3 linked regions of the Anolis sagrei genome follow. The protein of the gene in region 1 binds, or shares a complex with, the protein of each later gene. Links are inferred from orthologs where the notes say so. Each region holds a gene or a part of one and is shown in the gene's direction. Other genes may lie near its edges.

The links.
Region 2: EIF3I (region 1) and EIF3J share a complex: the UniProt entries of both Homo sapiens proteins name them as parts of the eukaryotic translation initiation factor 3 (eIF-3) complex. The link is inferred for Anolis sagrei from reciprocal best matches to the Homo sapiens genes EIF3I and EIF3J.
Region 3: EIF3I (region 1) and EIF3M share a complex: the UniProt entries of both Homo sapiens proteins name them as parts of the eukaryotic translation initiation factor 3 (eIF-3) complex. The link is inferred for Anolis sagrei from reciprocal best matches to the Homo sapiens genes EIF3I and EIF3M.

Annotation. Positions count from the first base shown.
Region 1 is NC_090034.1:83,413,488-83,420,414, reverse strand, and holds the start of EIF3I (eukaryotic translation initiation factor 3 subunit I), read left to right. Parts: upstream 1-3,870; 5' UTR 3,871-3,976; coding exon 3,977-3,979; intron 3,980-6,678; coding exon 6,679-6,771; intron 6,772-6,927. UniProt on the Homo sapiens protein: Component of the eukaryotic translation initiation factor 3 (eIF-3) complex, which is required for several steps in the initiation of protein synthesis.
Region 2 is NC_090029.1:23,331,822-23,339,464, forward strand, and holds the start of EIF3J (eukaryotic translation initiation factor 3 subunit J), read left to right. Parts: upstream 1-4,572; 5' UTR 4,573-4,646; coding exon 4,647-4,671; intron 4,672-4,761; coding exon 4,762-4,886; intron 4,887-7,643. UniProt on the Homo sapiens protein: Component of the eukaryotic translation initiation factor 3 (eIF-3) complex, which is required for several steps in the initiation of protein synthesis.
Region 3 is NC_090021.1:257,527,376-257,534,511, reverse strand, and holds the start of EIF3M (eukaryotic translation initiation factor 3 subunit M), read left to right. Parts: upstream 1-4,065; 5' UTR 4,066-4,066; coding exon of another isoform or gene 4,067-4,142; coding exon 4,143-4,184; intron 4,185-6,174; coding exon 6,175-6,307; intron 6,308-7,136. UniProt on the Homo sapiens protein: Component of the eukaryotic translation initiation factor 3 (eIF-3) complex, which is required for several steps in the initiation of protein synthesis.

The DNA of each region.
Region 1 (6,927 bases):
CTGCTCTCTGCCATTGCATCCTAATCCTCACAGTATAAATACCTGAGTCTCCCCACCACCACCACCACCTCATTCCCGTCCATCTCTCAGCAAGAAATCATCTCCATGAATCCAGATCTAAAGGGAGCCTCAGAGTGTGTTGGTTAGGGCAAAACTCTACAGGAGAGGGGTGTGGGGCTATCCTATTGTCTGAGGAACATCTCTCTTCCACCTCCATGGGGCTGTTGGCCTTGGCAGTTGATTAGATGAATCCTCTAGGGGTTTCTGGGCTCTGGGCAGTTTTGGGGTTAGCTGTTGAGCAAGATCGGACCTTTTGAATCTCAGCAGCTGCGGAAGTTATATTAATTCTGTACACACACACACAAGAAATAATGTTTAAATTCATATTTTAGGGAGTGGAGGGGTCATTTTTTGACAAATCAAGCCAGTATCTTCAACTGCAATAATTAAAAAATGTTTAAAATGCATACTGTTCTGTTTCTTGTCTCTAGAACCATGTATTCTATGACAACACACATTTTTTGTCTTGGCAGCAATGAAATGTTGGGCTAGATGCATTGCTGATATTGCAGTGAACCGCTATGAGGATGCTCTTAGTGCATTGAATTTTATCTAATCTAAATTTTAATATCGTTGTATGCATTTGATGTGTGATACTGTATTTTAATGGTATTGTATTCTAATGGTATTGAATTGTAATAGGCGAGATCTGTATTCCAATTGTTTTATGAAGTACTTTGGTATGTTTTTGGATTGTTGTGCTTGTATATTGTACTTCTTTGTGTGCAAATGGCCTATAGTGAGGCATTAACAAACAAAACAGAATATTATCCCATGTAACATAAAACCCCAGAGGTCTTAGAAGTGCAAGCACTGGAAAACAGTCAGCCTAGTATACTTGATAGAGTAGAATTGTGTGCTTTAGTTACTGGGAATTAGACAGTTATTATTATTTTTGTAAGTATATTAATAGGGGGAACTATCAAATACCTTGTAATTGAAGCAAAGGAACTTCATTTCTGCCAGGAGCTGCAGGCTTCGTCTCTCCTTCTTCACTTGCTCCAGGCCTTCTGTTCCCTTTTTCAAAAATGGGTTGGTCCCTCCCCAAAGAAGGGCCACCAAGAGACAGGCACTTAGTTCACCTGCAAGAAAGGAAACTTCTAATAATCATTGTAATGGTAATTTGGAAGGATTTTGCAAAAGAGTATTCGAGAAACCCCTCTTCCTCCTGGAGAGAAGTGCCAAGAAGAGGGCCCAGTCCTGGGCCATTCAGGACTATTCAAAGTCTCGATTGATGACTTAGATAACTGAATAGAAGGGAGGTTTATACACTTGAAAATGGGACCTTGTTGGGAGGGATGGCTAAGACTCTAGAAGGCAGGATCAGGATCCAAAGTGACCATGGGAGATTAAAAGGATGGATCAAAATTATTATTATTATTTATTTACTGATGTTTAATGATTTATGTTACAATTGTTTTTAATTGCCCTATACTTGTCTCGTGATGTTTTGTATAGATGTTGTTCACTGCTTTGAGTCGCCTGAGGGCTGAGAAAAGCGGTATATAAATAAAGTAAATAAATCAATAATAAATAAATATTTACAGTATTTATATACAGCCTTTCTCACCCCTGGGGGGACTCAAAGTGGGGGTGGGGGACTCAAAATGTAAGGCTTCTTGTGGAGGGAAAAAGTAGTGTGTAAATAAACATAATAACTAACCAAACGAACTTCAACAGGGACAAATGTATAATATGACGCTTTGACAATAAACATAAAATGGATAGATATAGGATGGGTGACCCCTAGCTTGAAAGCAGTCCATGGGAACGGGGTCTAGGAGTCTGAGTGGACCACAAGCTGAACATGAGCCAACACTGTGATGCAGCAGCGAAAAAGGCCAATGTGATTCTAGGCTGCATAAATAATATAGTGTCTAGATTAAAGGTACTCATAGTCCCACTCTCTTTTGTGTTTATTTATTTATTTACCACATTATACTCTGTGCCTCTTACCCTGAAGGGATTTTCAGGCAGGCTGGCAGAAACTGCCGTATAATCAATTGTACTATACCTGTGTACCCTGTTGGTGGCATAGGTATAGGCAGCTTGCGTTATGTCATGCTGGGTTCCATTGAGGTAGTGCAATGGATGCAAGGAGAGAAGTTCTAAGAGAATTGACTTGTATTGTCAAAGGCTTTCATGGCCGGAATCACTGGTTTGTTGTAGGTTTTTTCGGGCTATATGGCCATTTTCTAGAGGCATTCTCTCCTAAGGCCTCTAGAACATGGCCATATAGCCTGAGAAAACCTACAACAACCCAAACTTGACTTGTTTCTGATTATGTCTTGAGAAACCCTGTCAGCAGATGTAACCTGACCATCTTGTCCAAAGTTAGTGCCTTCCACTTGTTTCACACCCGCTCCAATTCTAGCATTAAAATCACCACACAAGATAAGCTTTGTGGAGGGATATTGGCATTCCAAACAGGTGAGGGTTTCAGATAGCCCAATCCAGACATTAGGGCCTCAATTTTTGATAATATATTAGGCAGAGTCTGGATGACCATCTGCCAGGAGGGCTTGGGTGGTGCCTTCCTACATAATGGTAGAAGGGGGTTGGACTGGATGGCCTTTGGGATCTCTTCCAATGCTAGGATTCTATTATTATTATTAATATATTAAGCAGAGGCTGAATTGACATCTGCAGGAGGGCTTGGATGGTTCCTTCCTGCATAATGGCAGAAGGAGGTTGAACGTATTATTATTATTAGGTTGAACGTATTATTATTATTATTATTATTATTAATATATTAAGCAGAGGCTGAATTGACATCTGCCAGGAGGGCTTGGATGGTGCCTTCCTGCATAATGGCAGAAGGAGGTTGAACTGGATGGCCTTTGGGACCTCTTCCAATGCTACGATTCTATTATTATTATTATTATTAATATATTAAGCAGAGGCTGAATTGACATCTGCCAGGAGGGCTTGGATGGTGCCTTCCTGCATAATTGTAGAAGGGAGTTGGACTGTATGGCGTTTGGGGTCCCTTCCAACTCTAGGATTCTCTTATTACTATTATTATTATTATTATTATTATTATTATTATATTAAGTATAGACTGAATGGACATCTGCCAGGAGTGCTTGGGTGGTGCCTTCCTGCATAATTGTAGAAGGGAGTTGGACTGTATGGCGTTTGGGGTCCCTTCCAACTCTAGGATTCTCTTATTACTATTATTATTATTATTATTATTATTATTATTATATTAAGTATAGACTGAATGGACATCTGCCAGGAGTGCTTGGGTGGTGCCTTCCTGCATAATTGTAGAAGGGAGTTGGACTGTATGGCGTTTGGGGTCCCTTTCAACTCTAGGATTCTATTATTAATAATATTATTCATATTCAGCAGAGGCTGGATGGACATCTGCCAGGAGGGCTTGGATGGTGCCTTCCTGCATAATAGGAGAAGGAGGTTGGACTGCATGGCCTTTGGGGTCCCTGTCTTCCAATTCTAGGGTTCTTTGAGTCCTGTTTCTCCATGAGCCTGCTTATGAGTTTGTATGGCCATCTGTTGGGAGGGCTTTGGTTGTGCTTTTCCTGCCTCCAGAAAGTAGTTGGACTGCGTGACCCCTGGGAATCCCTCCCAGCTCTGGGACGCACTGCTTCTACAGAGGCCGAAGGTGGCCATGGACCCACACCGTTTCTAATACACGTGGGCATGAAACTAAAGTCCCCCCCCTTCCTTTCTCACCCAGCGACGCCATGGCGACCGGTCATAGAGTAGAGGGCTAGACTGACGCAAACAAGTCCTACTTCCGGTTTGGCGCAGCTCTTGTCAACCGGAAGTGTGAGGCTCTCTTCTCTTTTTATATCTCTATGGACACCTGGTTTCGGCTTTCCGTTTCCGGTCTCGTGCCGGAAGTGGTTCATCTGGCCTCTTCTGCGCCGCCTGGCCTTCCTTTGCCGCAGCCATGGTGAGTCCCTCTTCCCCTGAAGCTGCCCATGAGTCGGTTTAGTGGATCAATCCAGCCTGGTCTGGGCCTGGGCCTCTCCGTTCCCTATCGCCAGCCCCAGTGAGCAACCTTGCTGCAGGTGTTTGGACCAGCTGAGGTTTCTGAGCACTCTTTAAAGGCAGCCATACCTAGAGCGCGTTACAGTATTCCAGATGGGATATAACTAAGGCATGGATCACCATTGCCAGATCTGGCTTCTCATGGAATGGGCGCAGTTGGTGCACAAGTTTTAATTGTGCGAAGGCCCTCCTGGCCGCTGCCGATAGCTTCAGCAGGATCCCCAGACTTTGAATCTGTGTTTTCGGGGGGGGGGGGGGCATCCAGCGCAGGCTGGATCCCTATTCCGTGGTCTGCCTTCCAACTGATCAGGACTACCTCTGTCTTGTCTGGATGAAGTTTCAATTTGTTTGCCCTCATCCGAGGTCATCCTGGTCAGTTGCAGCCTGTGCTGGATGGGGTTACACTCCCCTTGAAGGCACAGGTTCGCAGCTTAGGAGTCCTTTTGGATTAATCGCTGAGTCTGGATCCTCAGGTAGCAGCGGTGGCCAGGGGGGCTTTTGCACAATTAACACTTGTGCACCAGCAGCGCCCGTACCTTTGGAAGCCAGACTTGGCCACGGTGGTCCACGCTCTCATTACATCCAGGATAGACTACTGCAACATGCTCTACGTGGGGTTGCCTTTGAAGACGGTTCAGAGGCTTCAAATAGTCCAAAGAGAAGCAGCCAGGTTAATAACTAGGGCAGCTAACAGGGAGCACACAACTCCCATGTTACGTCAGCTGCTCTGGCTGCCTGTTTGCTACCGGGCACAATTCAAAGTGCTGGCTTTGGCCTATAAAACCCTAAACATCCCAGGCCCAGTTTATTTGTCTGAACGCATCTCCCTTTACGAACCACTGCGGAAACTAAGATCTTCTGGGGAGGCCCTGCTCTCGGCCCTGCCACCATCACAGGCGCGTTTGGCAGGGATGAGAGACAGGGCCTTCTCAGTGATTGCCCCTCGGTTATGACAATATTAGATCAGCCTCCTCCCTCCTGTCCTTCAGAAGAATGTGAAGATCTGGCTGTGGGTCCAAGCCTTTGGGGCAGTGCAATGAGGCAAAATGGTGTCCTGAGATGGTTTTTAAGCAACTTTTAATGTGAATATAAGTGATTTTAATGTTTGTATATATTTATGGTTTTATGTCCTGGCATTGAATGTTTTCCATATATATGTTGTGCTCTGCCCTGAGCCCCCTGCGGTGTGAGAAGGGCGGAATATAAATGTTTTAAATAAATAAATAATTGCTGATTATAGATGCTGGTTTAGGGTCAGAACAGCTTCCTTGGCATTAGGTGGAAAGGAGTAGTAGAGTTGGATGTCATCTGCGTATAGGTGGCATCATACTCCAAAACTCTGGATGACATCTCCCAGCAGTTTCATGTATATGTTAAACACCATGTAGGTTAAAATGGAACCCTGAGGAACCCCGCAGGTCAACAGCCAGGGGTCCCCCAGCACTACCTTCTGGGTACGGCCTTTCAGGAAGGATCAGAGCCACTGCAAGACAGTGTCTCCCAATCCCATCCCTGTGAGACAACCTAGAAGGATACCATGGTTGATGGTATTGAAAGCTGCTGAAAGGTCCAGGAGAACTAACAGAGTACACACTCCCCCCTATCTAGGTCTCTGCGGAGGTCATTCACCAAGGCAACCAAAGCTGTATCTGTTCCATTGCCAGGCCTGAAACCAGATTGAAATTGATCTAGATAATCCATTTCACCCAGAAATCCCTGAAGTTGGGAGGCCACCACATGATCCAAGTCCTTGCTCAGAAAGGGGAGGGGTGCACACTGGCCGATAACTCTCCATTATAGAAGGGATCAGGGGTGGCTTTTTAAATATAGGCCTCACAACAATAGGAATAATAATTGAAATAATAATGGGAAGAATAGGAATAAGGTACTGTTCCATTATCTGGATGGAATAATAATGATAATAGGAATACTCCTAATAATAGGATTAATAATAAGAATAGGAATAATAATAATGATAATAATCATAGGAAAGAGCTAAAAACTTGGTTCTTTCTGCAGGCCTTTGATAATGTTTAAGATACTAACCAGATTACTATATTTAGCCAGGGAAGTCTAAATTGATTGTATGGATCTTTTAATTAATTATTATTGCCATATTTTATTGATTATGTTGCTCTTGTTAACTTAATATGCCTAGTTTTAAATGTGTTATTGGTTTTTAATGTTGATATATTGTATTTTATGTTGTATGGCACCATTGTGTGCTTTGTGAGTTGCCCCGAATCCCTATGGGAGATGGTGGCATGGTATAAATAAAGTTTATTATTACTATTATTAGGAATACTACTAATATTAGGAATGATAGGAGTATGAATAACAATAATAATAGGAATAAATCTACAGCTGTGTTTGTGTTTCTATCCATGTATGTTATAGGATATTTAATTTATATGATACATGTTATCATGTTATCTCTTGGTGCGCTATGTTTTATAAGAAATGTACTGCTATTTATACCTTCTCCAAAAAATAGATACAGCTTTGCAGATTCAGAGAGCAAAAACAGAGAAAGGAATGAAATCTCTACAAGGCAGTATGGTTCAGACTGTGTTAAAGCACATTGTTCTTTTCTTCCCACAGAAACCTATCCTCTTGCAGGGCCATGAGCGGTCTATTACTCAGATCAAATATAACAGGGAAGGAGATCTACTCTTCACGGTCGCCAAAGATCCGGTAATGATTTTCTATATTTCCACACACACCCCACTTCTATGTGTATATATAAAGGAATTGAAAATCACAAATGTTCTACTGCAGCATCTGTCTGTCGATCTACAAATCAGAATATGCATGTTGGTTTGTACCACAAAGCCTTCTCCATGGCTTGAT
Region 2 (7,643 bases), on another chromosome or scaffold:
CGAGGGGGACTCAAAGCGGTTTCGAGGGGGACTCAAATCTGAACCCTCATCTACCTGAGGGTTGAGACCCAACGGCGCTTGGCTGTTGCTGGAGGAGAGGGAATTTCTATTGGTTAATTCACACTCATTGAAATTATTGATTCCCGTGAGGTTCTTCTGATGGGGTTTGCAAGAGGAGAGGAAAACCCGGGATGGGAGTTCCCTTGAGCATTTCTTTTGGAAGGCCAGCAGCAGAATGATTTGCAGACCCACAATTACTAAAGCAGAGTAGGTTGCCACTTTCTATTCAAATATAAATCGTGCTGGCAATCTTGAGGATCCAAAAGTACAGGCCAGGCATTGATCTCTGCCTTCACTTTCCATCTGCTCAATGCTCCTATCTTGTGATTGCAAAGCATGCACTGTTGGTTGTTTCAGTCATAGGCTGGCATGTTTGCTAAGTGTATGCTAAGCCCACTAATAACACTATGTGACAAAATTTTAATATTTTTTTTTTGTTTCTGGTTTGAATGCATTACTCCCTGATTAATTGTGCAGTCTTTACTTTGAAAGTAGTTGTTCTACACCAGAACTTTGTTTTTGTGGCTGCCACAAACTAGGCTGAATTGGTTGAGATATTTATGGGGAAATTAGACCCAAATGTGCTGCTGCAGGGTGCCTTCCCACAAAAACAAATTTTTCACAGTTTAATAAACTTTTCTCATGCTTTTAATGATAGAACCAATTAGGAGATGACATAATCCAGGAACAAAAATCACGTTACACAGTGAACCATACTAAATAATAATATTCATAGTAAATCATAATCATACTAAATAATAATAAATAGCAATAATAAATTAATACATTGATAACCCAGGAATAAAAACCATGTTTGTGTTACATAGTGAATCATATCAAATATTAATAATATTTAATAATAATAATAATAATAATAAATATTGCAAAAGCTCTGGCATAAACCAGTCCAGGGGGTCCCAGTGGTGATCGGCACACTGGGTGCCGTGCAAAAAGATCTCAGCCAGCTTTTGGAAACAATAAACATTGACAAAATCATCTGTCAACTGCAAAACACCACCTTACTTGGATCTGCGCGCCTAATTCGGAAATACATCACACAGTCCTAGACGCTTGGAAAGTGTTCGACTTGTGATTTTTTGATACAAAATCCAGCATATAGATCTTGTTTACTGTGACATACTGTGGCTTTGTGTCAGTAAAATAAAAATAAAAATATAATAATAATAAATCAATAACATTGATAACCCAGGAACAAAAATCGTGTTGCACCTAGTGAATCATGCCAAATAATAACAATAGTCACAATAATAAAATAATCACACTAATTAATAATAATCATAAAAATAATAAATACTAAATAATTAATAATATTAATTAATGATATTGATAACTCAGGAACAAAAATTGTGTTACATATTGAATCATACAAAATAATAATAGCCACAATAATAATCATAATAAATTAATCATATTAAATAATAATAAATACTAAATAAATAATTAGTAATAATTATTAATGACTTTGCTTACTTACTTACTTAGGCGATCCCTCATTGGACGAGTAAGATGGTTTTCCATTATGGGTTTCCTTGTGGATTTGTAGGTGGCTTTGGAGCCCTGTTTTTGACCCGCATCTTCTCCCACAGTGACTTTGTAATGACTTTGACAACCCAGGGAAAAAATGTGTTTATGTTACATAGTAAATCATATTAAATAATAATAACAATACCAAATAAATAAATAATAATAATGGCATTGATAACCCAGGAATACAAATCATGTTACATAGTGAATCATACTAAATAATAATAATATTTTTCCATAAATATGTTTAAGTCTCCTCTTGGGGTGAGAAAAACGGTATACAGGTGAAGTAAATAATAATAAAAAAATATATAATAAGTGGTTTGTGGTTTGCTCTTTACTTTGTAACTTGGGGCCCGCCTGTTTGTGGTTTGCTCTTTATTTTGACTATAATAATAGTCAAAATAGTAATAAAATAATCATACTAAATAATATTAAATAAAAATTAACAATAATAATTAGTGCCATTGATAGTTCTTTCTCCCACACTGGACATTATGCAGATAGATAAACCTCACTTGTCTAGTTTCCAACAGACTTCACCACCTTTGAAGATGCCTGATATAGATGTAGACGAAACGTCAGGAAAAAATGATTCTGGAACATTGCCAGACAGCCCGGAAAACTCACAGCAACCCTTTACTAGAGAAGGCCTGAAGAAGATTGTCATTTCCAACTTGTATGGTCTTCTTCTCAGTGAGCACAGACCATATTATCATCGGCATATTGGAGTTCTATAACAGATACTGCTGTGTCCTCGGTTTTTGCTTTCAGTCTACTGCTGAGGCTAACTTACTTACTTACTTACTTAGGCGATCCCTCGTCATCCGAGCAGGATAATCCTCCAGGGTGACTATGGAGCCCTATTCTTGATCTGCATCGTCTCCCACAGCGAGGGCATTGGTTTCCAGGTGGAAGGCGATCCCAGTTGGGGTTTGCTTGACGCGCCTTCCTCTTGGCACATTTCTCTCTTTTGCCCTCCATTCATGCCTCTTCAAATTCTACAGCACTGCTGGTCACAGCTGACCTCCAGCTGGAGCGCTCAAGGGCCAGGGCTTCCCGGTTTTCAGTGTCTATGCCAGAGTTTGTAAGGTTAGATTAGAGCCCATTTATACATCTCTTTTCCTGTCCACCAACATTCTTGAGTTCGGAGAAGAGAAACAGCTTTGGGAGACGGTGGTCGGGCATCCAAACAACTTGACGGGTCCAGCAGAGTGGATGGCGGAGGACCATGGCTTCAATGCTGGTGGTCTTTGGGTTGTTGTAGGTTTTTTGAGCTATATGGCCATGTTCTAGAGGCCTTCTCTCCTGATATTTTGCCTGCATCTATGGCAAGCATCCTCAAAGGTAGTAAGGATGCTTGCCACAGATGCAGGTGAAACGTCAGGAGAGAATGCTTCTAGAACATGTCCATATAGCCCAATAAAAACCTACAACAACCCAGTGATTCCGGCCATGAAAGCCTTCGGCAATACTAGTGGCCTTTGCTTCTTCTAGCACGCTGACATTGTCCACTTGTCTTCCCAAGAGATTTGCAGGATTTTCCGGAGGCAGCGCTGATGGAATCGTTCCAGGAGCTGCATGTGACGCCTGTAGACAATCCACGTCTCGCAGGCATATAGCTGGGTTGGGAGGACAATAGCTTTATAAACAAGCATCTTGGTATCCCTACGGATGTCCCGGTCCTCAAACACTCTCTGCTTCATTTGCAAAAATGCTGCACTCGCAGAGCTCAGGCAGTGTTGCATTTCATTGTCAATGTTATTTTTTTTATTTATCGTGTCAGGGGCAACCAGACAATTGTATTACATTTCTAACAGAACAAAACAAACAAACAGACAAAATACAAAATTTGCGAGTTTGGTAGTTGATTAAATGTCCTTTGACCAGTATCTGGCCACTTGGAGTGCTTCTGGTGTTGCCGCAAGAAGGTCCTCCATTGTACATGTGGCAGGGCTTAGGGTGTATTGCAGCAGGTGGTCAGTGGTTTGCTCTTCTCCACACTCGCATGTCGTGGACTCCACTTTGTGGGCCCATTTCTTGTGGTTGGCTCTGCATCTTGTGGTGCCAGAGCGCAGTCTGTTCAGTGCCTTCCAAGTTGCCCAGTCTTCTGTGTTCTCAGGAGGGAGTCTCTCATTTGGTATCAGCCACTGGTTGAGGTTCTGGGTTTGAGCCTGCCACTTTTGGACTCTGGCTTGCTGAGGTGTTCCAGCGAGTGTCTCTGTAGATCTTAGAAAACTATTTCTTGATTTAAGTCATTGACGTGCTGGTTGATACCCAAACAGTGGATGAGCTGGAGACGTCTCTGCCTTGGTCCTTTCACTATTGGCTGCTACTCCCCAGCGGATGTCAGGTAGTGTGATACCGGCTAAGCAGTGTAATTTCTCCAGTGGTGTGGGGCGCAGACACCCCGTGATAATGCGGCATGTCTCATTAAGAGCCACATCCACTGTTTTAGTGTGGTGAGATGTGTCCCACACTGGGCATGCATACTCAGCAGCAGAGTAGCATAGCGCAAGGAGAGATGTCTTCACTGTGTCTGGTTGTGATCCCTAGGTTGTGCCAGTCAGCTTTCGTATATTGTTTCTAGTGCCCACTTTTTGCTTGAAGTGCAGGTAGTGCTTCTTGTAGGTCAGCGCACGGTCCAGAGTGACTCCCAGGTATCTGGGTGCGCTGCAATGGTCCAGTGGGATTCCTTTCCAGGTGATCCTCAGAGCTCAGGATGCTTGTCTGTTCTTGAGATGAAAGGCAGATGTCTGTGTTTTGGATGGGTTGGGGATCAGTTGGTTTTCCCTGTAATAGGCAGTAAGAGCACCCAGAGCTTCGGAAAGCTTCTGTTCAACCATCTCAAAGCTCCCAATCTCGTTGTTGCTCTGGGTAGGCTGGAGGGGGCGTGGCTTTGTTTGAAGGGGCGTGGTTTGTTAAGGCCCCGCCCTCTCTCGGCGTATTCCTTTTCCTCCCGGCATCCCCCGCGCGGGCGTCTGGCTCTTCCTCTTCCGGCCTTGGCCGCGAGTGCCTGACGGGCCTGAGGCAGAACCAAGATGGCGGCGGTGGCGGATTCCTGGGGTGAGTGTGGCCGGGAAGGCAGGCCTGGAGGTGGGAAGGAAGGGCCTCTTTTTCGCCCCCTGCTGACACCCTCTCCCTTCTCCGGCGCAGACTCCTTCGAGACGACGGCGGCGGAGGCGGAGGAGGACGGGCGGCACCAGGCCCGGCTGCCCACGCCCTCCGTGGCGGCGGCGGGAGACCGGTGGGCCGGGGAGGACGAGGACGAGGATGTCAAGGTGGGAAAGGCCTCGCTCTGCTTCTCTTCCCTCCTTTTTTCACCAAGTTACGAACAAGGAGGGCTCTGTAGCAGACCTGGGCCAACTTGGGCCCTCCCTCCAGCTGTTTTGGACTCCAACTCCCATACTTCCTCACACCCTCAGGCCCATTCCTATCCCTTCCTCAGCCGCTGAAGTAAAGAGCAAACCACTTATTATATAAATTACTAGCCGTCCCCTTGCCAGGCGTTGCTGTGGCCCAGTCTGGTGATCTGGAAAATACAGTAATGAGAAAGTGTTGGTTTCTAATATATGTAATTTCTTTATGTTTCTGGGTAAACAATATTTCTTGCTGTTTCTTTGTCAGTGTTGACATGGAGATTATTATTATTTAATTATTATTATTAAACTTTATTTGTACCCCGCTAGCATCTCCCGAAGGATTCGATGCGGCTTACAGAACACACAACACAACAATACAATCTAAGCAAATAAAACAAATTAAAAACAGAATAAAGCAAAAAAAAAAAAAACACCAAATCAGCAGGCACAATACACTAAAACACGATAAAACTGGGCCGGTCCAGAGAATGGGTACAAAGATTAAAAGTGCTGATGTGACAGGAGGTGTATATAGGGCTTCCAGGGCAAGTGCGATGTGCGATGTGCAGCAATCATTGGTTCTGATAAAGTGCTCTTGGGACTTGGTATTGGAGATTTCCTAATCTGGGAAGGCGCATCGGAAAAGCCAGGTCTTCAAGTTCTTTCTGAAGACAGCCAATGAAGGGGCCTGTCTAAGGTCTTTGGGGTGGGTGTTCCAGAGTCAGGGGGCCACCACGGAAAAGGCCCTGTCCCGCGTCCCCACCAAGCGCGCTTGCGACGCCGGTGGGATCACGAGCAGGGCCTCTCCAGATGACCGAAGTGAACGTGTGGGTTCGTAGATGGATATGCGGTCACGCAGGTAGATTGTCTGGTTTGCCTACTCTGGAACATGCAACTTATAATTGTCCTTCTTTGGGGGTCCCTTTCAAACCTATGATACTATATCTGTGTTTGTGTGAATCATATCTATCTATCTAAATCTATGGCTGGATGGCTCTTTGTCAGGAGGACTTTGATTACGTTTTGCCCTAGTGAAGGGAGTTGGACTGAATGGCCCTAAGTATTTTCTGTTGGTCATGGGGGTTCTGTGTGGGAAGTTTGCCCCAATTCTGTCATTGGTGGGGTTCAGAATGCTCTTTGATTGTAGGTGAACTATAAATCCCAGTAACTACAACTCCCAAATGTCGAGGTGTATTTCCCCCGAAACCCCATCTGTGTTCATATTTGGCCATATGGAGTGTTCATGCCAAGTTTGGTCCAGGTCCATCATTTTTTGGGTCCACAGTGGTCTCTGGATGTAGGTGAACTACAACTCCCAAACTCAAGGTCAATGCCCATCAATCCCTTCCAGTGTTTTCTGTTGGTCATGGGAGTCCTGTGTGCCAAGTTTAGTTCAGTTCCATTATTGGTGGAATTCAGAAATCTTTTTGATTGTAGGTGAACTGTAAATCCCAGCAACTACTACTCCCAAATGACAAAATTAATTTTTGAGTGATGGTTACTCCTTGGGTTAGTAGGTGTCTTGTGGCCAAATTTGGTGGTAATTCGTCCAGTTAAAAAAATTTCTCATGTCAGGAACGACTTGAGGAACTGTAAGTCGCTTCTGGTGTGTGAGAGAGAATTTGGCCGCCTGCAAGAACATTGCCCAGGGGACAGCCGGATGTTTTACCATCCTTGTGGGAGGCATCTCTCATGTCTCCGCATGGGAAGCTAGAGCCGACAGACGGGAGCTCACCCCACTCCCCATATTCGAACTGCCTACCTTTCAGTCAACGTGGATGAGCTCACTCTGTCAGCTTCAGCTCCCCGTGGGGGGACATTTATTTATTATTTATTTATTTATTAACTTTATTTGTACCCCGCTAGCATCTCCCGGAGGACTCAATGCGGCTTACACAGGCCGAAGCCTCAAAACACAATACAGTAAAACAAACACAACAGTAGAAAACATAGCAAATCAATAAGTTAAGCAAGCAATAACGACAATAACAATACATCATGACACTTTAAAACTGGGCCGGCCAGCGCAATGGGGTACAGGGTTAAAAGTGCTAGAGTGGTAGGAGGAGCATGGGAATAAAATAGTACGGTGTGCATTAATGTTAATTGTGCTAAAGTGCTTCTAGGACTTGGGTGGGGATTCCTAATCTGAGAAGGCACATCGGAACAGCCAAGTTTTTAGGTTCTTTCTGAAAGCTGCTAAAGTAGGGGCCTGGCGAAGATCTTTTGGAAGGGCATTCCAAAATCGGGGGGCCGCCACAGAGAAGGCCCTGTCTCGTGACATGGGAGAAGCCTCCCACAAGGATGGTAAAACATCAAAACATCCTGGCGTCCCCTGGGCAACGTCCTTGCAGACAACCAATTCTTTCACACCAGAAACGACTTGCAGTTTCTCAAGTTGCTCCTGACACGGCAAAAAAAAAACAAAAACCCATGTTCCTTCTCATGAAAAAAAAAAAAGCGGAAGCTGGAGCTGACATCACCAGGGCCTCCCAACCACTTGCTACAATGCAGTCTGAGTCCTACCATATGCACCCTCTCACAGCGACACCAGTGGCCAGCTTCTTGTCAAAGGTCATTTAGCATCATGCCAAGTTTTGTGGTCATTTTTATACATTTTAACTAGTCTCAATTCACTCCTGACGTGATAAATAGCCCCCAATTTACAAATGAGAG
Region 3 (7,136 bases), on another chromosome or scaffold:
TTCCCTCTCCTCCTTTCTGAACTGTTTCAGACTTTTCCTTAACAAAGTATGACAGACACTGGCAGACAATTCCCCTGCGTTGTGGGAAGGGTTCCGTCATAAATTATACCCACTGTTCATGGGGGGTATAATTTACCTATTAATTTCATAGGTAAGGAGTACTCAAGAGATAGTTTTGTTAGTTCCTTCCTCATAAATATTGCCTAATGCACAGCCCTTGTTCTTGTTAACTGTCTTTAAGTTAACATTGACTTATAGCAACTCCATGAACAAAATACCTCCAAGTCATCCTATTATAAACAGCCCTGTTTAGGTCTTGCAGACTCAAGATCATGGCTTCCTTGATTGAGTCTATCCATCAGTGTATCTTCTTTTCCTACTACCTTCTACCTTACTAAGCATTACTGTCTGTGACGGCGCGTCTGGCCCCACTTGTATGTGAATGTACAGTTGAATTGTTTGGTTATCTATAGCTGTCAATCAATGTTGTTTTGCACCGGTTAAATTGCCCCCCCCCCCCAGCCCAATTGTTTGGCTCCGTCCCTTCCTGGGGAAGAGGGCCGTGCTTTCTTTTTCATTCCACCATCAACAGCTCAACAGATGGACGCGAGAAAGGCTTGGCTCTAAGCCCTAGTCAAGTAATCTCTTATCACCAATTCTTAAGTTTGTACTCTTAAGATTCATGCTTCATGCCCAGTTCACCCTGGATGACGTTGAGGAATCTTAAGCGCCTTCAAACCAGTCCTTTGGCATCAAGAGGAAGACTTTGTGCCTTCAATATAGGTCATTGGACTGGGATTGTGAATGTTCCGACTTTCACAGCCATTGAGAAAGAGGGAACTTGGAAAGCTTCTCAGCTGGAAAACTCCTTAGACCCAAGACTACAAAGACTGTAATGTATATTTTCTTTACCCCCTTTGAAACATCAAGTTTAATGCCTGAAGGATAACTCATTGTGAACAATAAAGCCTATTTCGAGTTATCTATAGTGTCTTGATCCTTGAGAGTTCCAGTTCTCTAAAGGAGGCCAAGAAGCAATCCCCTGGGAATGCCTTTTCAAGATATGTCAAAATTACAACAGTCTCAATTTAGCCATCTTGGCTTCTAGGGAGAGAGTTCGGGCTTAATTTGTTCTAGGACCCATTAATTTGTCTTTAGACATCCACAGTATCTGCAGAACGGTTCTCCAGCGCCACATTTCAAATTAGTTGATTTTCTTCCTATTAGCTTCCTCACTGTCCAGCTTTCAGAATCAGAAACAGGAAATACAATGGCTTTAGTACTCTAAGTCCCAGTCTTCTTCTGATTTCTTGACTTCAGTCCCCATTTCAATTTATGACTGAAGCAAGGTAAGTAAAATCTTGAACTATTTCTATGTTAAATATATGCAAATTATTGGCAGTCATTTTTGTTGCGCAGAAGCAGATTTTAGCCAAGTCCCATGCAAACGACACACAAGCAAGCGGAAAAAGGAAAACTGTACTCTTATCAGCAGAGGCATAAACTTGCAGTGTTGCATACAAAATCAAACAGTGCAACAAACCTACATAGTCCTTGTAAGTAACACAGAATAAGGCTTCATCTTCATTCAAATGAGAGAGCAAACCATAAACCTTGAGTAAATAGCTATTCCACCATAGCAAAGAGCATCGCTGTTTAGCATAGCAGCATTACAGCATATTGCTTCTCTTCCTCAGAGTTGCATATTGCTTCTTCAAACTGAATTCTAAAATCCATACAGTTAAACTCCACCAGGTGTGGCCCAAACATGCTGGCTGACCTACATTACTAGCTGCACATAATAATTAACATCATAATGTTTTCTTTAACACACACTTGATCCTGTTACGACTTACTGTAACAATTTTTGTTTTCTTAAAGTTTAATATTAAACCTCCCCTTTCTTCCCTTGACTTCAAAATATTTACTATTTTCACCTGCATATCTTAAATTACTGAAGTTTCTTTCTCCAATTTTGCACATTCCTTCCTCCAAGTCTAATCCTACTTTCCATATCATCAGTTCAGTATGTATGTTAAACTGATAAGGTAATAAAATTCAGTCTTGCTTGACGCACTTGCCACTCTGAAACCATTTCATTTTACCATATTCTGTCCTGTTGTCCTAAGTACAGGTTACACATTAAGACAATCCAATGTTATGACATCTCCATTGTTTTAAAAATGATTAATAGTTTCATGATCAATCAAAGGTTTTGCTAGATTTGTAGTGATTTCCTGTGTGTTAGTTCTATTTTGTGTGTGTTAGTTCTATTATCATGCAGATGATTATAATGTGATTCTTTAGTGCCTCTTCCTTTCCTTTGCTATAATACCTGTCATTTATTTTTGTAGAGCTTTATACATCACATTAGTTACATGGTAAATGAATGCAATAATGATGATGATGATGATGATGATGATGACACAGAGCAGGAGAGAAAACCGGTGAAAGAAGGCTCTCCATGGACAGTTCCTGGGAAAAATTGAGAGCCAAATTGACAAAAAACAAACAAACATGGCTGTGGCTCACAAATGGAACTCTAAAAAGGAGACAGAGGGCCTGATTCTGGCAGCCAAATAACAAGCTATTAGAACCAATGCCATCAAAGCCAGAATTGAAAAGTCAATGACAGATCCCAAATGCAGACTCTGCAAGGAAGCAGATGAAACAATAGATCACATCCTCAGCTGCTGCAAGAAGATCGCGCAGACAAGACTACGAGGAGAGGCATAACACCATTGCGCAGATGATTCATTGGAACTTGTGCCACAAATACCATCTGCCTGTGACAAAGAACTGGTGGGATCACAAGCCGGAAAAAGTTACAGAGAATGAACACATCAAGCTACTCTGGGACTTCTGAATTCAGACAGAGTTTTGGAGCACGATTCTCCTGACCTCACAATCGTGTTAAAAAACAAAGTATGGATTGTCGATGTTGCAATCCCAGGTGACAGCAGGATTGAAGAGAAACAACTGGAAAAGCGGGCCAAATGCACAGCATAAAATGATGAAACACTGGATGAGATAGCAATGAAAAGGTACATTTGTGAGGGCAGAGCTCATACAGTAGAATTAGACTTTCAATAAGGTGTGGGAAAGTGCAATATGAGGGAAACAGTGTAGGTGAAACAACAGGTCTGGAATATATGGTCACTCTCCAAAGGCACATCAGAAAAGCCAGGTCTTTAGATCTTTCTTAAAGGCTGGTAGGGTGGGAGTTTGCCTAATCTCACCAGGTAGTGAATTCCATAGCCTGGAGGCCACAGCGGAGAAGGCTCTCTCCCTGGCTCCCACAAGTCGTGCCTGTGATGGAGGAAGAGGCGAAAGGAGCCCCCCCCCCCCCCAAGGATCGGAGGGAACGTGCAGGTTTGTGGAAGGAGATGCGGTCACGAAGGTAGGCAGGTCCCAAACCATTTAGGGCTTTATAGGTGATAACCTGCACCTTGAATTGGGACCGGAAAATGAACGGCAGCCAATGGAGCTGCTTAGACAGGAGGGTTGACCGCTCCCTGTAGTCCTGTGGTTACTGCAATCCCTAATATCTCCTTTCTTGGGAGACAGAATGTATATTGAATGTTTCCAATCCATGGGCCATTGTTTAGTTTTTCCATATTTACAGGTTTTAGTTAGAAACAGTTCTATTGGCATGCAATCTGTTCTTGGCGATATCTTTCTCCCAAGTGCTCTGGCTGCAGTTTCCACTTCTCCTTCTAAAATTAGAGGCTCATCTTCCAATGTTTTGTTCTTTCATGAATCTGTCATCCATGTTTTGTAGGTTGAATTGTAGACTATAGGAGCCTAAATACCCAAACTCCAGCTTTGGACTTCTACTCCCAGAAGCCTCAGCTGCGTCGGTCAAGTATTTAGGGATCATGGGAGTTGAAGTCCAAAACACTCAGAGGACGAGTTTGGGAAATACTGCGCCCTGATTGGCTACCCACGCACCTCGTGACCAAACAGCCTCCTCACTGAACGAGGGAAACGTCGCGTGAGGGAGCGCGTGCGCATTAAGACCTCCGGAGCGGGAGGGAGATACGATTCCTGTGACCCGGACGTGGAAATGACGCAGCAGCAAGGAACGCGTTCCTTTCCGGTCGGGCGGCGTGCTCTGGGCAGGGAGCGAAGCCGCTGCCGAGATGAGTGTCCCAGCTTTTATCGACATCACGGAGGAAGACCAGGTGGGGAGGCGAGGCGGTGGTGTTCCCGCTCAGGCTGACCTTCCAGGGGAGGCCCATGGGCCGCGGCAGGCCCCTCAGCAGCCCCGCCTGCCTGCCTGCCTGCCTTCCCTCCCAGCGGGGCCCTCGCGAGTCCCTTTCCCTGCGGCGGCTGGCATAGGCCCTTCCCTTCCCAGCCCCACCTCACCCAGGTATGGGCTAACTTCGGCCCTTCAGGTGCTTTGAACTTCAACTCCCACAATTCCGAACAGGCTGCTAGGAATTGTGGGGGTTGAAGTCAAAACACCTGGAGGGCCCAAGTTGGCCCATTCTTGGCCCAATCCCAGTGCAATGCCATCACCTGCAACAGAGTTTCCCAACCCTTTGGCCCTCCAGATGTTTGGACTTAGCCTCCCAGAAGTCATGACAAGGTGTGCGTCCTCAATGTTGAAGTAATGCAATTGGACATCCCTTGACCTGCCCTGGCTCATTGCTGTGGAGTCCTGGGTATTGTAGTTTGTTGAGGCCCCAGCACCCTTTGGCAGAAAAGGCTAAGGACCCCATAAAACTTTTAACTCCTGTGATTCTATAGCATTGGGCCATGGCAGTTAAAGGAGTGTCAAGCTGCATTAATCCTAAAGTGTAGATCCACCTGTTGCAAAATGTGTGGAGCTTCCAGGAGATGTAGCTCAAAACACCTGGAGGAACAAAGTTTGGGAACAGCTGATCTGTACGGAAGATGGACAGTAATCTATGAAAAAGTTCTTGTTGGGGTGATATACGGGCGTCCCAAGGAGAAGCAATAGAGTTTAATAGAAGGCTGTTACAGGCTGAGTGTCCCTTGCCCAAAATGCCTGGGCCAGATGTAGTCTGCGGTGATAGTATGATAGCTGGGTCCAGAAGCTCCGAGCGTTACGGAGATGCCACAAAGGCGGCTGTGAATAAGGGAAGAGAGGGAGCTGAGTGAGAGCAGGAAGAGCGAAGGAAGGATAGAAAGGAGGGGATGCTTAGGGTAAGGGTTAGGGCAAGGGTTTGGGTAAGGGTAAGGGGTTAGGGTTAGGCTTATGGTACGGTTCTGGGTTAGGGTTAGGGTTTCACCATTAAAGAACTCTTACATTCCTTCTATATCTGTCTCCGGCCTGGCTTACATTAGTTAAGTCTCTCTTGTGCAAACAGCGCTCCCGAAGGAGCGATGCAGCATCTCTGTAACGCTTGGATCTTCTGGACCCAGCTATCATACTATTACTTAGTCTGCATTTCATTTTTTCTCTAGGTCATGGAATATTTTCATATATATATACGGTAATAAGATGTCAAAACGTGAGATTCCTTTATGTTGACATACACCTTATGCCAGTGGTTCTCAACCTGTGGGTCTCCAGGTGTTTTGGCTTACAGCTCCCAGAAATCCCAGGCAGTTAACCAGCTGTTAGGATTTCTAGGAGTTGAAGGCCAAAACATGGGGAACCACAGGTTGAGAACCACAGCCATATGCTTATAGTATGACAAAGGTGTCACTATCATAGCAAGGCATATGGACAATTTGGGGGCTTCTGAATAATTCTAGATCCTGAATAAGGGATGCTCAGTCTGCACTGTAGATTAGTCTGACCCATCAGGAAACCTTTCTCCCTACTTGTAGTTATCAGCAGTTCCTTGCACTGTAAAGTAGAAGAATCAGCAAAGTCTTAATTATAGCTTTGCCATATAATTATGAACAGATTGATTAGGGCTTTTCTGTAGGATCTGTGTGCACACATATCCTTTGGGGTTGTCAGGTTCATGGTGAGGACCTTAATAAGAATACTGTCACAAATGGGGTTTAGAAATATTTGGTTAGATTACATGCTCCTTTGCATTAAAATAGTGTCTAAATTCCAATTATATTGAAATTATGTATGCTGTCATAAATAACACATTGTGACCATCACTGCTAAGTTGTTAGATGTAAACTCCTTGCAACATTCATAAATAACTTTTAGGGGTGTTTTTTTGTTTGCTTGATTTTTGTAAGGCTGCAGAACTTAGGGCTTACCTGAAATCCAAGGGAGCAGAAATTTCTGAAGAGAATTCTGAAGGTGGACTTCATATTGACTTAGCCCAGATCATAGAAGCATGTGATGTGTGCTTGAGAGATGACGATAAAGGTTTGTATCATATTTTTAGGTAATTATTGATGAGGTGCTTGGATTGATAAGGATATGGGGTTATAACAGTGATGGCCAACTGCCCAAACTGAGTGCCCAAACCAGGGGTGGATGGTCAGTGAGGGTGGGTGGCATAGATTCGCCACCACAAGAGTTACCATGTAGTTGGAATCCTCTCCAAATCCATTTGGAATGGAAATGGTACTGGTTTGCCTGGTAGATGATTTACATCTGGGAGTGAAAGGAAAAGATTTACCTCTGTTGTCTCTCTTGTACCTTTTTTTTACTGCTGTCCACAGTATCCTTTTGGACTATCTAGCTAATTCTGACTTACGAGGTATGTTAATGGTAGTGCTAGGCCTTCCTGGAGGATCAGTCCCATAATGTGTTGTTGAGGGATTTTTGCTCAGACCTGTAGATGGCTCTTGTTCCTCCTATTGTCAAACATGAAATCATAGGGGAAAAATGTCTGGAGGTTCATCATAGTGTTACCAGCATATGGAGCGGTTCACAGTTCTACTTCTCTCTCTCTTTTTTTTACCTGCTAGTGCCAGGAACATCGCTGAATTTGCAGCAGATTTCTGGAGGCAATTTAGATGCAAATGAGAGCAAATAATGTACCACTTAAATTAGATAAAACATGTAGGAAACCAGCTGATCAGGATGGAACTGTTCAGCTAATAACTGCAGCTTGAGCTTCCTGTGGACACATCACTGTTGGTCAAAATGCAAGTAATATCAGTGGCTAAGAGTTGCTTTGACCAGTTTTAGGTTGGATGCAACTGGCATACCAAATTTTGATCAAAGAGGCTTGTACACTGGCAGTCTT